2 linked regions of the Canis lupus familiaris genome follow. The protein of the gene in region 1 purifies or fractionates together with the protein of each later gene. This does not show direct contact. Links are inferred from orthologs where the notes say so. Each region holds a gene or a part of one and is shown in the gene's direction. Other genes may lie near its edges.

Region 1 (5,250 bases):
ACATTGCAGATGCCCCAGGCACAGAACATGGCCTGTTGAGTTGGTAATTGACAAGGAATGATAGGCCCTGAGAGCTCCCCATGCTGACCCCAAACTAGGTTTCCTTTTATTAATTTTTCAGGAGAGCCACAGTTAAAAATTAAACTATAAATTTATAATTAAATCATTAAAAACAAAGACAACAAATATTCAATATAACCACTTCCTAATTATTTTACTGCCATATATGCTCTTGAGGTTATTTGTTTATTCTACATGTATTGTGGAAGTAATTGTGTGATATTGTGTGTCTCTACCTGTGTTCAGTGATGTCACTATCAGGAGTTTGAAGTCTGCTGTGATGGCAGTATACACATCACAGATGTTGTCAACCACTACAAATCAGGGCTTTTTAAATTTGGCTGTTAAACATTTATTAGTATACCACTGCGTTCTATTGTCCCATCTTTTAAAGATCATGAAATTGAGGACTAGAGACGTTAAGTGATTTGCCTACAGCCATACTGCTAGGAAGTGGTAAAGCTGGGATTCAATCCCAGGTTTTTGTTTGTTTGCTTCCTTTTTAAAAGAAAAATATATTTCCAAAGCCCACATGTCTTCCATTCAGCTCCTCTTCCCTGAGGTAGGAATGTTCAAGCTGGGTAGGCGTCTCAAGGTTAACCACTAATCTGGCTTCTAAACATCACACAACCTTTTAATACTGGTATACCTAGGGCCATGTTGGGTCAAGTATTCTATATAGTATTATCATTTGCTCCCTTTGGCATGGGGATAGCGTCAAGAATCTGGTCAATTATCTTGACTTTCTTCCCATCCCTGTGGAACAATGAAAAGAAACTTGAATTCCTATCCCAGCACTACCGTCCAACCCTGTGACCTCGAAAATTCATCTTTCCTCTCTTAAATTTCAGCAATCTACTCTATAAAATATGGACAAACACAATCCATTTGAAGGGTTGCTCTAGGGAGTAAATGAAATCTCACTCTCAAAGCACCTAATACAGTGTACCCTGTGTATAGTAATATAACCCAACTGCTATTAATTTTATTGTGTACAGGCATGGTGTGAGGGTTTTATATGTTTTCTCCATTATAACTGTGGCCATAGAGAATTCTTTGATTTTCTTCATCTGCTCTTTCTCTCAGTCTTCCACAGTTCAGTAGTCAAATGCACCACCATTTACCTAAAGATTTAGATTCCAAATCTAGGTGTTTTCTTTTCTTCCCAGCAAATGCTCTTGCTTCTATCTGAAACATTTCTCTTATCCCATCCCTTCTGGAAAGCCACCCCTAATTTCTCAATTCTGAGGGATTATAACCAGGAGTACTTCATTCCAGCTGCCATCACTCTACTAAAATTACTGGCTTATTTCTGTCTGGATCATTCACCGCTGTGTCCCCAGCATCTAAGCAGTGCCCGGAATAGGTAGGTAGTTGATAAGCATTTTTTGAATAAAGGTATGAAAGGGCAAGGATTATGTTATCAATTTACAGGTGGTAAGGCTGTGGCTCCTACGAGGAGGTATTTTGCTTTGGGTCAGGCATTAAATTGCAGACGGGAGATTTAAAACCAGGGCTCCAGAAACACCCTCCCCAGGTCCCGCGCAGGTTCCTAGTCCGCGCTTGCGTTGGCTCCTACCTACTAGCTCCGCCTACTTGAGCCGGCGCCGTCTCCGTCACTAGTTTGACCCTCGGGCGGCCGCCGTAGCGCGTCGCCTCCGTTGCTGTGGGAAACGACCCCGGACCCGGGAGAGAGGAAAGACGTTTCCCGCCGGCGGGAGCTGCGTTTGTGGTGGCGGGGCTCGCAGCTGTGCCGCACGATGGCGGACCAGCTTTATCTGGAAAATATAGACGAGTTCGTCACGGACCAGAACAAGATCGTGAGGAGCTAGGACTGGGGAATGTGGGCAGGAGACTGGAGTCCTGAGGGCGGCAGGGGCCTTGACCCCTCTGCGCTTGGCCTGGTGGGGACTGGCCGAGGGGCGACGGGTCCCCACGTCTGGTGCCCCAGGGCTCGCGAGGGCTCACGGGGGCTCGCAGGGGGAATTCCTCTGGCGCGCGCTAGTCCGCGTCGCTTGGGTTGGGCGTGCCGGGTGCTGTGCAAGGAGCAGAGGCCAAGAACAGGCGTGGAGGGAAGGGCCCTGGTAGATAACAATTCTGAGGTGTTTCTGCGTCTGTCCGATGAGGTGAAATGGTTTAAAGCCCCAAGTTGACTGTTGAAGAATTGTGCCGTGATTGGGTTAGGTGACTAGTTGTTTCACCTTTCAACCGTCAGTTTCCTCCGCTAGGAAATTTGGTATTCGTAGGCTTGACCAGCCCCCTCAGGGTTGGAATGAAAGATTGAGAAGATGAATGCGAGTGGACTTTACAACCGTGACGATTGAATGCCTGCTGTGAGCCTGGGATGTACAGTATTGCATTTAATCTTTACAGCGACCCCAAAGGGCGCCGGACGTATCCCTATACTTGAAGCAGAGGAACCACATTACTTACTTGTAGTTAGTGAAGGATAGGCAGTTTTCCAACCTAGATCTGTCTCTTTTACTAATGCTTTCGCCTCACCTATGTTCTTAATTATTGGAAACTCGGCATTTAGAATTGGAAGACTTCTAAGAGGTGAGGAGCATCCAAGGAAGTGACATTTGACAAGAGAGTTCAAGGAAGGATGGAAGGAAGACCAAGGCTTGATGCCAGTGGATTCCAGTCTAACCCCAAATACAGCATTCGTCCACTTCTTTTTTTTTTTTTAATATTTTGTTTTATTATTTATTAGAGAGAGAGGCAGAGACACAGGCAGAGAGAGAAGCAGGCTCCATGCAGGGAGCCCCACATAGGATTCGATCCCAGGTCTCCAGGATCAGGCCCTGGGCTGAAGGCGGCGCTAAACCGCTGCGCCAACCCGGGCTGCCCCCATCCACTTCTTTAATTCCCTGGCCCCTGCACCACCTGTGCCTGCTAATGTTTGCATTAGCAAACAGGCACGGCTGCAGCTTTTCCTTAGACGTTTATGTCATACACTGCAAAGTAATCTAGCTTCTGGGTGAATTTTAATAGTTATCAGTGGTGGCCACAAAAAAGGACAGTGTGAATAAAGGGTAAAACAAAGAATGTGAGGAAAATGCGAGCTTTTTCTTTGTATGTATATTCAGCCTTTCATTTTAGACTTTTGTATTAATTAGCCTGTGAAACAGACTTTTTAGTGTAAGATAAATATCTCAGTCCTACCTACCCAGATGGACTGTTCTTGGCAAAACTAGGGTGGCATCCGCTGTAATTTATAAGGCACAATCATCTGAGAGTAGGAATCTTTAGGAGCCCCTGGGACTAACCTGCACGCTGGAATCATTTAATGTTAATGTCATTAATGTTTTTTAACACTTAAAAACCAACTCCTTCTTCTTGCAGGTGACATACAAATGGCTGAGCTATACACTAGGGGTTCATGTTAACCAGGCCAAACAGTAAGTACAATTTACTACGATTTTTATTCACACTGGAGTTGTGTGTGTGTGTGTTTTGTTTGTTTTGTTTTGCTTTGTTTTAAGCTTTGCAGATAGCCTTGAGGTTAGAAATTTTTTTTTCGGGATCCCTGGGTGGTGCAGCGGTTTGGCGCCTGCCTTTGGCCCAGGGCGGGATCATGGAGACCTGGAATCGAATCCCACGTCGGGCTCCCGGTGCATGGAGCCTGCTTCTCCCTCTGCCTGTGTCTCTGCCTCTCTTTCTCTCTCTGTGTGTGTGACTATCATAAATAAAATTAAAAAAAAAAAAAAAAAAGAATTTTTTTTTCCCCTGGAAAATAGGAAAGAATACTATTTTTACTACCTTTCACTAAATTTGTATTTATTTAGGAGATAGGTGGACTTATATACAAATATGTGGTTGTATATTTGCTGGATTTATTAGTAGCCTTGGCCTCTGGTTAACATCATTTTGTTACTTCAAATTTATTAAACGGGCTACTTCTCAGATTTTGTATGCTTGTCATCTTGTATCTTCGTTACATTTTCACATGTGCTCCTTAGGCCCACATCTGGGTGTTAGTGAAGTACTTTCATAATGAGGTCAACAGGTGTACTGGGGAGGACTATTTAAATGAACTAAAATGGGAGTGTTCAGGATGATGCAGAGCATTGCCTTTCTTGAACTTTTGCTTTATCACCTTTGCTTGCTGAAACTTGTAGTTCAACTTGAGGCCAAAAGGGAAAAGGCAAGCTTTTGAATTAACTTCCAAAATTTCTTAAAAATCTTGTCTCTATCCCAAGAGGAGGAATTGGTAAATAGGCTGAGAGCATATATATTGAGTTAAATACTCATTTAGTTCAATTTATTCCTAAAGTGGTCTGATTTTTTTTTTTCCCCAATTTTTTGAGTCATGGGAGCTTTCTTTGAGTCAGGCAATGTTCCATGAATCTTAGAAAATTCCTGATAACTAGAATCGGTTGATTTGGCTTTATGTGGGCTACTTTTGACAGACCTAGAATCTGGCTTTGGCTATGATTATGCCTTCAAGACCTGAAACTCTTGGCCTAGGGATGAATTTGGACTGACCTTTATCTGAGATTTTCTGTTGCTAATGGCAGTGCTGGCCCAGACCCAAGGGTTTCAGGTAACTTTCAGAACGGACATATATGACTAATTGTTATGTTTATAGATATTTATGAAATAACTATTATTATATAAGCCTGTTGGGGCTTAAAGGTGCATATTGAGGGCTGGAGATGAAATAAAGTTGCCTGCGATTTTATAGTAGTTACTTTGCTTGTAATTTTTATAGAATTAACACACTGTCTAGCCCCTGTCTCTCAACCAACTTCATCCCATGCCTCTCTCTACCTTACTTAAACTGTAGCCATATTCATCTTTTTGTCCGTCAAATATGCCAGGCTCATTCTGACTTAGAACATTTGAACCATTCCCTCTGGAATGCTCTTCTCCCAGCTGTTCTCATCCTTCAAGTTTTAGCTCAAATGTCACACATTACTTTTTGCAACCACCCTTCTCTAATGCTTTATTTCAGGTATCCCCATCCCTTCCTCTCTGTAATATCACTCTGTTAACTACTTTCTTAATTTTTTTTGAAAAGCAGCTTTATTGTGATAAAATTCACATACTGTACAATTCACCCACTGAAAATGTATAATTCAGTAGTTTTTAGTATGTTCACAGAGTTACGCAGCCATCACTATAATTAATTGTAGAACATTTTCATCACCTCCAAAAGAAACCCTGTATCCATTAGCACGCACTTAG
Region 2 (5,250 bases), on another chromosome or scaffold:
CTTTGAGTTTGCCCAGGGCTTCTGGGGTCATCAAGTTCATCCTCCTCCACATCTCCTCAGAGTTGCGATGCTTAGTGGCTTCGATTATGATTTCTTTGTAACTGTGCAAGGCCCCTTGGATGTCCTTCACCAGAAGGGCATGGATGATGAAGGTGAGGTCCAGTCCGATGTCACCCAGTTGCTGACAGTGCTCCTTTGCCACTTTTACACACTCAGCCGCCGTGGAGAGGCTCTCCTTACTATCGAACACCTGCTTGCTAAAAGCATCCACAAACATGCCCATGGCTGATCTCGCCCAGACCACAAAGGCAGAGTAGCAGCCGCTGTCAGTGCCTGCAAAATCCGTCTCAAATTCCCTCGCAGTCTCAAGAAGGCTGGTAAAGAACACGTGGCAGAGCTTATGAATGTAGAGTAAAGTGGCGCCTTCGATACGAAGCTGACGTATTGCAGTATGCACAGCTGCTGCCCTGTTTCTCAAAAACAGCTCACAAGCCTTTGTGCACTGGCCAAGGCGGATGAGTTGAGAAACTGCCCTTCGAGTCGCCTTGGGACCGCCTCTCAGGGAACGATCCGGGGACAGTTCGAAAACTAGCACCTCGGTGAGCTGTCGGACCCGCTCATCCACTTTGGCCCTTAGTTCTTTAACAGGAGGTGGACTGGGCTTATCTTCTAGGTAGTGGTTCAATTTGTCCAGCAGGTCAACGGCTCCTTCAAAGTCCCTCTGCGCGATACAGACATCCAGGTCTTCGGGCAACTCCTGGATCCACTCCACTGAGAGATCCACCTTCTCCTCTTCTACCTCAGGAGTAGCTGGTTCGTCCTCTTCCTCATCCTCAAATGGGTTCCCGGCTTTGGAAGTCACCTGCGGTGGTCCGCGAGGGGCCGCTGCCTCTTCCTGCTCCCTTCGCCGCTTTTCACTGAGGGCCCTCTTGGTTTCCTCCAGCACTTCCAGCCACTCCCGTTTGATTTTAGCATTCTCCGCCTGGAAAATACGGCTCTCGGGAAACATCAACAGCTTGAACATGTCCTTCATGGGCGGGTTGTCCTTGACATTGACCACGGCCAAACCGTCCAGGGGATAGAGGGCGTTGTAGCGATACATCCCCCGCCGCTGTGGCAGCCAGGTGGCCACCAGCAAGCAGTCGTTCATGAGAAAGCCGTGCACCCGCTGCAGTTGCGCCATGTGGTCAGCCTCGTATTCCACCAGGTCCCCGTTGTACACCAGGTACTGCCCCGGCGTCTCCAGCAGGTGCCTGCAGCCTTCCACCTTCTCAAGCAAGGTGGTGAGGGTGCGCTGCTTCCCTTCCTCGCCCGGACCCGAACTGTCGCGGGAGGCGCCCCCGGGAGCGGGAAAAAAGCCAGCCTGGCCCCGCAGGTGGTCTCGGCCCCCCGCGCCGCCGCCTCCCTCCTCCCCGCCCGAGGCCGCGGCAGCCCCGGCGGCGGCGGCGGCGGCGGCCGGCAGCAGGGTGAGCGGGATGCTCTCCAGGCTGCTCTTCTGCTCGGTCAGCAGGTGGCTGAGCTGATACATCTCGCTCTCCAGGTAGGAGATCTCGCGGGCCGTCTCTATGAACTGCCGGTAGTTCTGGTAGACGTTGCGCTTCAGGTTCTGCGCCGTCTCCTCCGCCAGCGCCTGGATGCGCTGCCGGTGCTCCTGCAAGTCCCGGTCGCCGTCCGACTGCTGCGAGAGCTGCTTCACGTACAGCCGCGCCTCGAAGCCCCCCGACTCCAGCTGCCGCCGCAGGCGGCTCGCCCCACTGTCCGACATCGCCATCGCCATTTCCGTCCGAGGCTCACGAAGCCACTGTCACTACCGCCGCCGCCGGTGCCGCCGCTGTCGAGACCCACCCAAGCCCCGCCGAGCTCCGGGGCTGAGGAAGCAGGATGGAAGAGAGACGAGTACGCCTGCGCCCGAGCCTGAGCTTCGGGCACCGCGCCTGCGCAGGGGGCCGGGCGCAGGCAGCGCGCATGCGCAGGGGCGCCCGCGGCCTAGAGCCCATGCGCCGGAGGCGCTATTGCGGAAGAGAGTGGAGGGCGAGGCGGCGAGACGCGGTACTGCGCATGGGCCGGGCGTGACGTTTGTGTTTGAAGTGAGCGGCGGAGCGTAAAGGCGGTAGCCAGTCTCCTGACGCCTTCCTAGAGTCCAGGCCCTGGGAGCCCCCGTTTTGAGCCCACTAGGAGGTATCCTGCAGAGTTCTCTTTTTTAAGCCCCAGAATCTTGGCCTCGGCGTTTGGGGCAAACTCAGTTCTCGTTCTAGAGCCAGTTATTCCTGAGTTCTCGCGAGATCGGCGGGCCGGCCCGAGAGCCGCCCGAGAGCCGGTACTTCTTAGGAGCTCGACCAGGCTCTCGGAGCCTGGGATCCGTGGAGCCTGCTTAACGCCTTCGGACGCCGCCTGGGATCCCGGCAGAGATGGACGAGGATCTGGTGTTGGCACTGCGGCTTCAGGAGGAGTGGAACTTGCAGGGATCGGAGCGCGACCGGGCCCAGGCGCCCCTGTCGCTGGTGGACGCGTCCTGGGAGCTGGTGGACCCAACCCCGGACTTGCAGGCCCTGTTTGTGCAGTTCAACGATCGGTTCTTCTGGGGCCAGCTGGAGGCCGTCGAGGTGAAGTGGAGCCTGCGAATGACCCTGTGAGTCCCGAGCCCCGCTGGGGAAGCGAGAGCGGCTGGCAGCTCCTCTGCAGCCCCCGGTCCCGGGGGGCGTGAAACCTGGGGGTCTCGTGGTGGACACCAGCAGCTCCTCTCGCTGTCCCTCTCCCTCCCCTAGTCTCCCTCCCTCTCCAACAACTTTAAGAAAGCTAGCTGTGTGGCCCATTCCGGTAGCCGATTGATTTGTAAAGGACACCGGGAGAGAAAAGGATGTCTTTGGATCTCCCCTCACTTGAAAATAAATTAACACGTTTCTGACCCAGGAGGGAGAAGCACCCAGAGTCAGCCCCTAAGAAAGAATGCCGAGGAGGCAGCGAAGCCTCCCAGAGATGTGTGTTGTCCTCTTCTGTGCCCTTTGAGATGTCACCACTTGGTAGTGAGCTCAGGTGTTAGGAGGGGGACGGGGCTGACGTTTCCGTATTTCTGGACCGAAAGGATCTTCGGGGATGCCTCTAAAAGGATGTTCACTAAAGTAGAGAATTCCTGATTTGAAGTAATCTGTTCCGGCTCATGAACGGAGTTAACAGCTTTAATATGGTTGTACACCACGGTGCTTGTCTTTGAAGTAATACAAAACAGCCTAAACTAAGACAGATTAAGATAGGACATAAAACTGGTTAAAAGGACAAATCTCCTTCGTAAAGGCTTCTCTTACGCTTTCGGAGATGCGCCGATGGAGATCTGGCTGTTAACTACCACAAACTGATTATAGTTTGAAGGGAGGAGACTGGGAGCCGCAGAACAGGATTGTCTTTGGCCTCTTGCAACCTGGCTAGGGCAAGGGATGCAGTTCTCTTCACACCTCTCTCTCACTGGGGTGATCTGAAGATATCTCCTAACAAAAAAGGTATACTAGTGTGAACTGCCCAAGAATGTATAAGGATTTATTCTTCTCCTTTCTGTTTCTCTTTTGTGTGTTTTAGGTAAATAATGCTTTTGTGGTGGTTGTTTTCCAGGTGTGCTGGGCTATGCAGCTATGAAGGGAGGGGTGGAATGTGTTCCATCCGTCTCAGTGAACCTCTGTTAAAGTTGAGACCAAGAAAGGATCTCGTAGAGGTATTCTTTGCATAAACTTGATTCTTAGCTGAGTAGTTTAAAAATGCTTTTTACTGATTTACACTGCTGTGAATTAACCTGTAATATAAAAACCAAACACCTGTTTTTCCTCATTGCAAACTTTAACTGCAATGCAGATAATAATGATTACCGTATATTTTTACAGTTCTTCACAGCTAAAGGCTTAATAATAAAGTTTTATTATTTAATTCGATCTTCACAACAGCCCTGTTTATGTACAATGTGTGTTGTCTTCATTTTTATAAATATGGACATATGGACATTTTATAAATATGGACATAAAGCCTCTTCAGAGAGGCTAAGTAACTGGTTTAAGTTACATATTTAGAAGCAAAAATTTAGAAAAAAATTAAGACCCATATCTTCCTTTTGAGACTTCAGATTTGGTTCTCTGTTCAGGTGCTGTGGTGCTGCCCTCCCAGAATATCTAGCTGAGCTGGTAGAACCAGCCAGCATGAGTGAGGGCATGCTTCACTAGCAAAATGGAGCAGTAGGAGCCCCCAGATTATGGCTAGTTGAGTCTAGAAGATGCCTGAAATTCCCTAAGACACACCCGGTGTGACGACTGGTCTTGCCCCAGTTATAGCTCTTGAAATGTGTGCACAAAAGAGGATAAAAGGTGGTAGAGGTTGGATGGGAAATATGTTAAAACATGCTTGGAAATATGAAAGATGGTGTTTTTAAGGATAATATAAGGTGATGGTTTTCAGAACCATGTGAATATACTAAACACTCCAGAACTGTACACTTAGAAGTAGTTAAGATGGTAAATTTTATGTAATGTGTTTTTCACCACAGTTAGGATAGAAGACAGTGGCTACTAAATATAAAATGGTACAACAGAAATAATTAACTAATAAAAGAGAATGGAGGAATAAAGGAACAAAGCCCCGCAAAAAAGTTAGGCATAAAGACGGTTATCAGTAATTATATTAAATGTAAATGGATTAAGCGTTAATTAAACATGAACTGACATACTAGATGGAAAGAGATGTGCTTAAGATAAAGACACACAGGGCAGCCCCCGTCGCCCAGTGGTTTGGCGCTGCCTTCAGCCCGGGGTGTGATCCTGGAGACCCAGGATCGAGTCCCGCGTCGGGCTCCTTGCATGGACCCTGCTTCTCCCTCTGCCTATGTCTCTGCCTCTCTCTCTCTCTCTCTCTGTGTCTCTCATGAATAAAAAAATAAAATTGCATTAGAAAAAAAAAAGATAAAGACACACATATGTTAAGCGCAAAAGGGTGGAAAAAGACATATATCATCCAAACAAAAACAGAAAGCTGTTGTATCAGACTAAAGATTTTAAGGGAAGAAGTTTTACTGGAAAAAAGGTTAACATTTTATAATGATAAAATGATCTATTAAATAAAAACACATAATGATCCTAAAAGTAGTAATATAGCTTTAAATTACATAAAGCGTAGATTAGTAGAAGCAAAAAGGGAAATAATCCACAATCATAGTTGCAGGTGTTAACACAACTTTGTTGGTAACTCAGTGAATAAGCAGGGGAAAAAAAGTAGGCA

The links. Proteins that work in one complex are often made in the same cells at the same time.
Region 2: the proteins of POLD3 (region 1) and SPRTN purify together in Homo sapiens (affinity purification with mass spectrometry; 3 studies listed by BioGRID, with this or other methods). This does not show direct contact. The link is inferred for Canis lupus familiaris from reciprocal best matches to the Homo sapiens genes POLD3 and SPRTN.

What each region holds. Positions count from the first base shown.
Region 1 is NC_049242.1:23,913,332-23,918,581, reverse strand, and holds the start of POLD3 (DNA polymerase delta subunit 3), read left to right. Parts: upstream 1-1,725; 5' UTR 1,726-1,820; coding exon 1,821-1,880; intron 1,881-2,050; exon of another isoform or gene 2,051-2,244; intron 2,245-2,495; exon of another isoform or gene 2,496-2,616; intron 2,617-3,405; coding exon 3,406-3,461; intron 3,462-5,250. UniProt on the Homo sapiens protein: Accessory component of both the DNA polymerase delta complex and the DNA polymerase zeta complex.
Region 2 is NC_049225.1:8,509,402-8,514,651, reverse strand, and holds the start of SPRTN (DNA-dependent metalloprotease SPRTN), read left to right. Parts: upstream 1-2,011; 5' UTR 2,012-2,408; coding exon 2,409-2,629; intron 2,630-2,643; exon of another isoform or gene 2,644-3,494; intron 3,495-3,603; coding exon 3,604-3,703; intron 3,704-5,250. Other genes in the region: EXOC8 (exocyst complex component 8), read right to left, coding at 1-1,777. UniProt on the Homo sapiens protein: DNA-dependent metalloendopeptidase that mediates the proteolytic cleavage of covalent DNA-protein cross-links (DPCs) during DNA synthesis, thereby playing a key role in maintaining genomic integrity.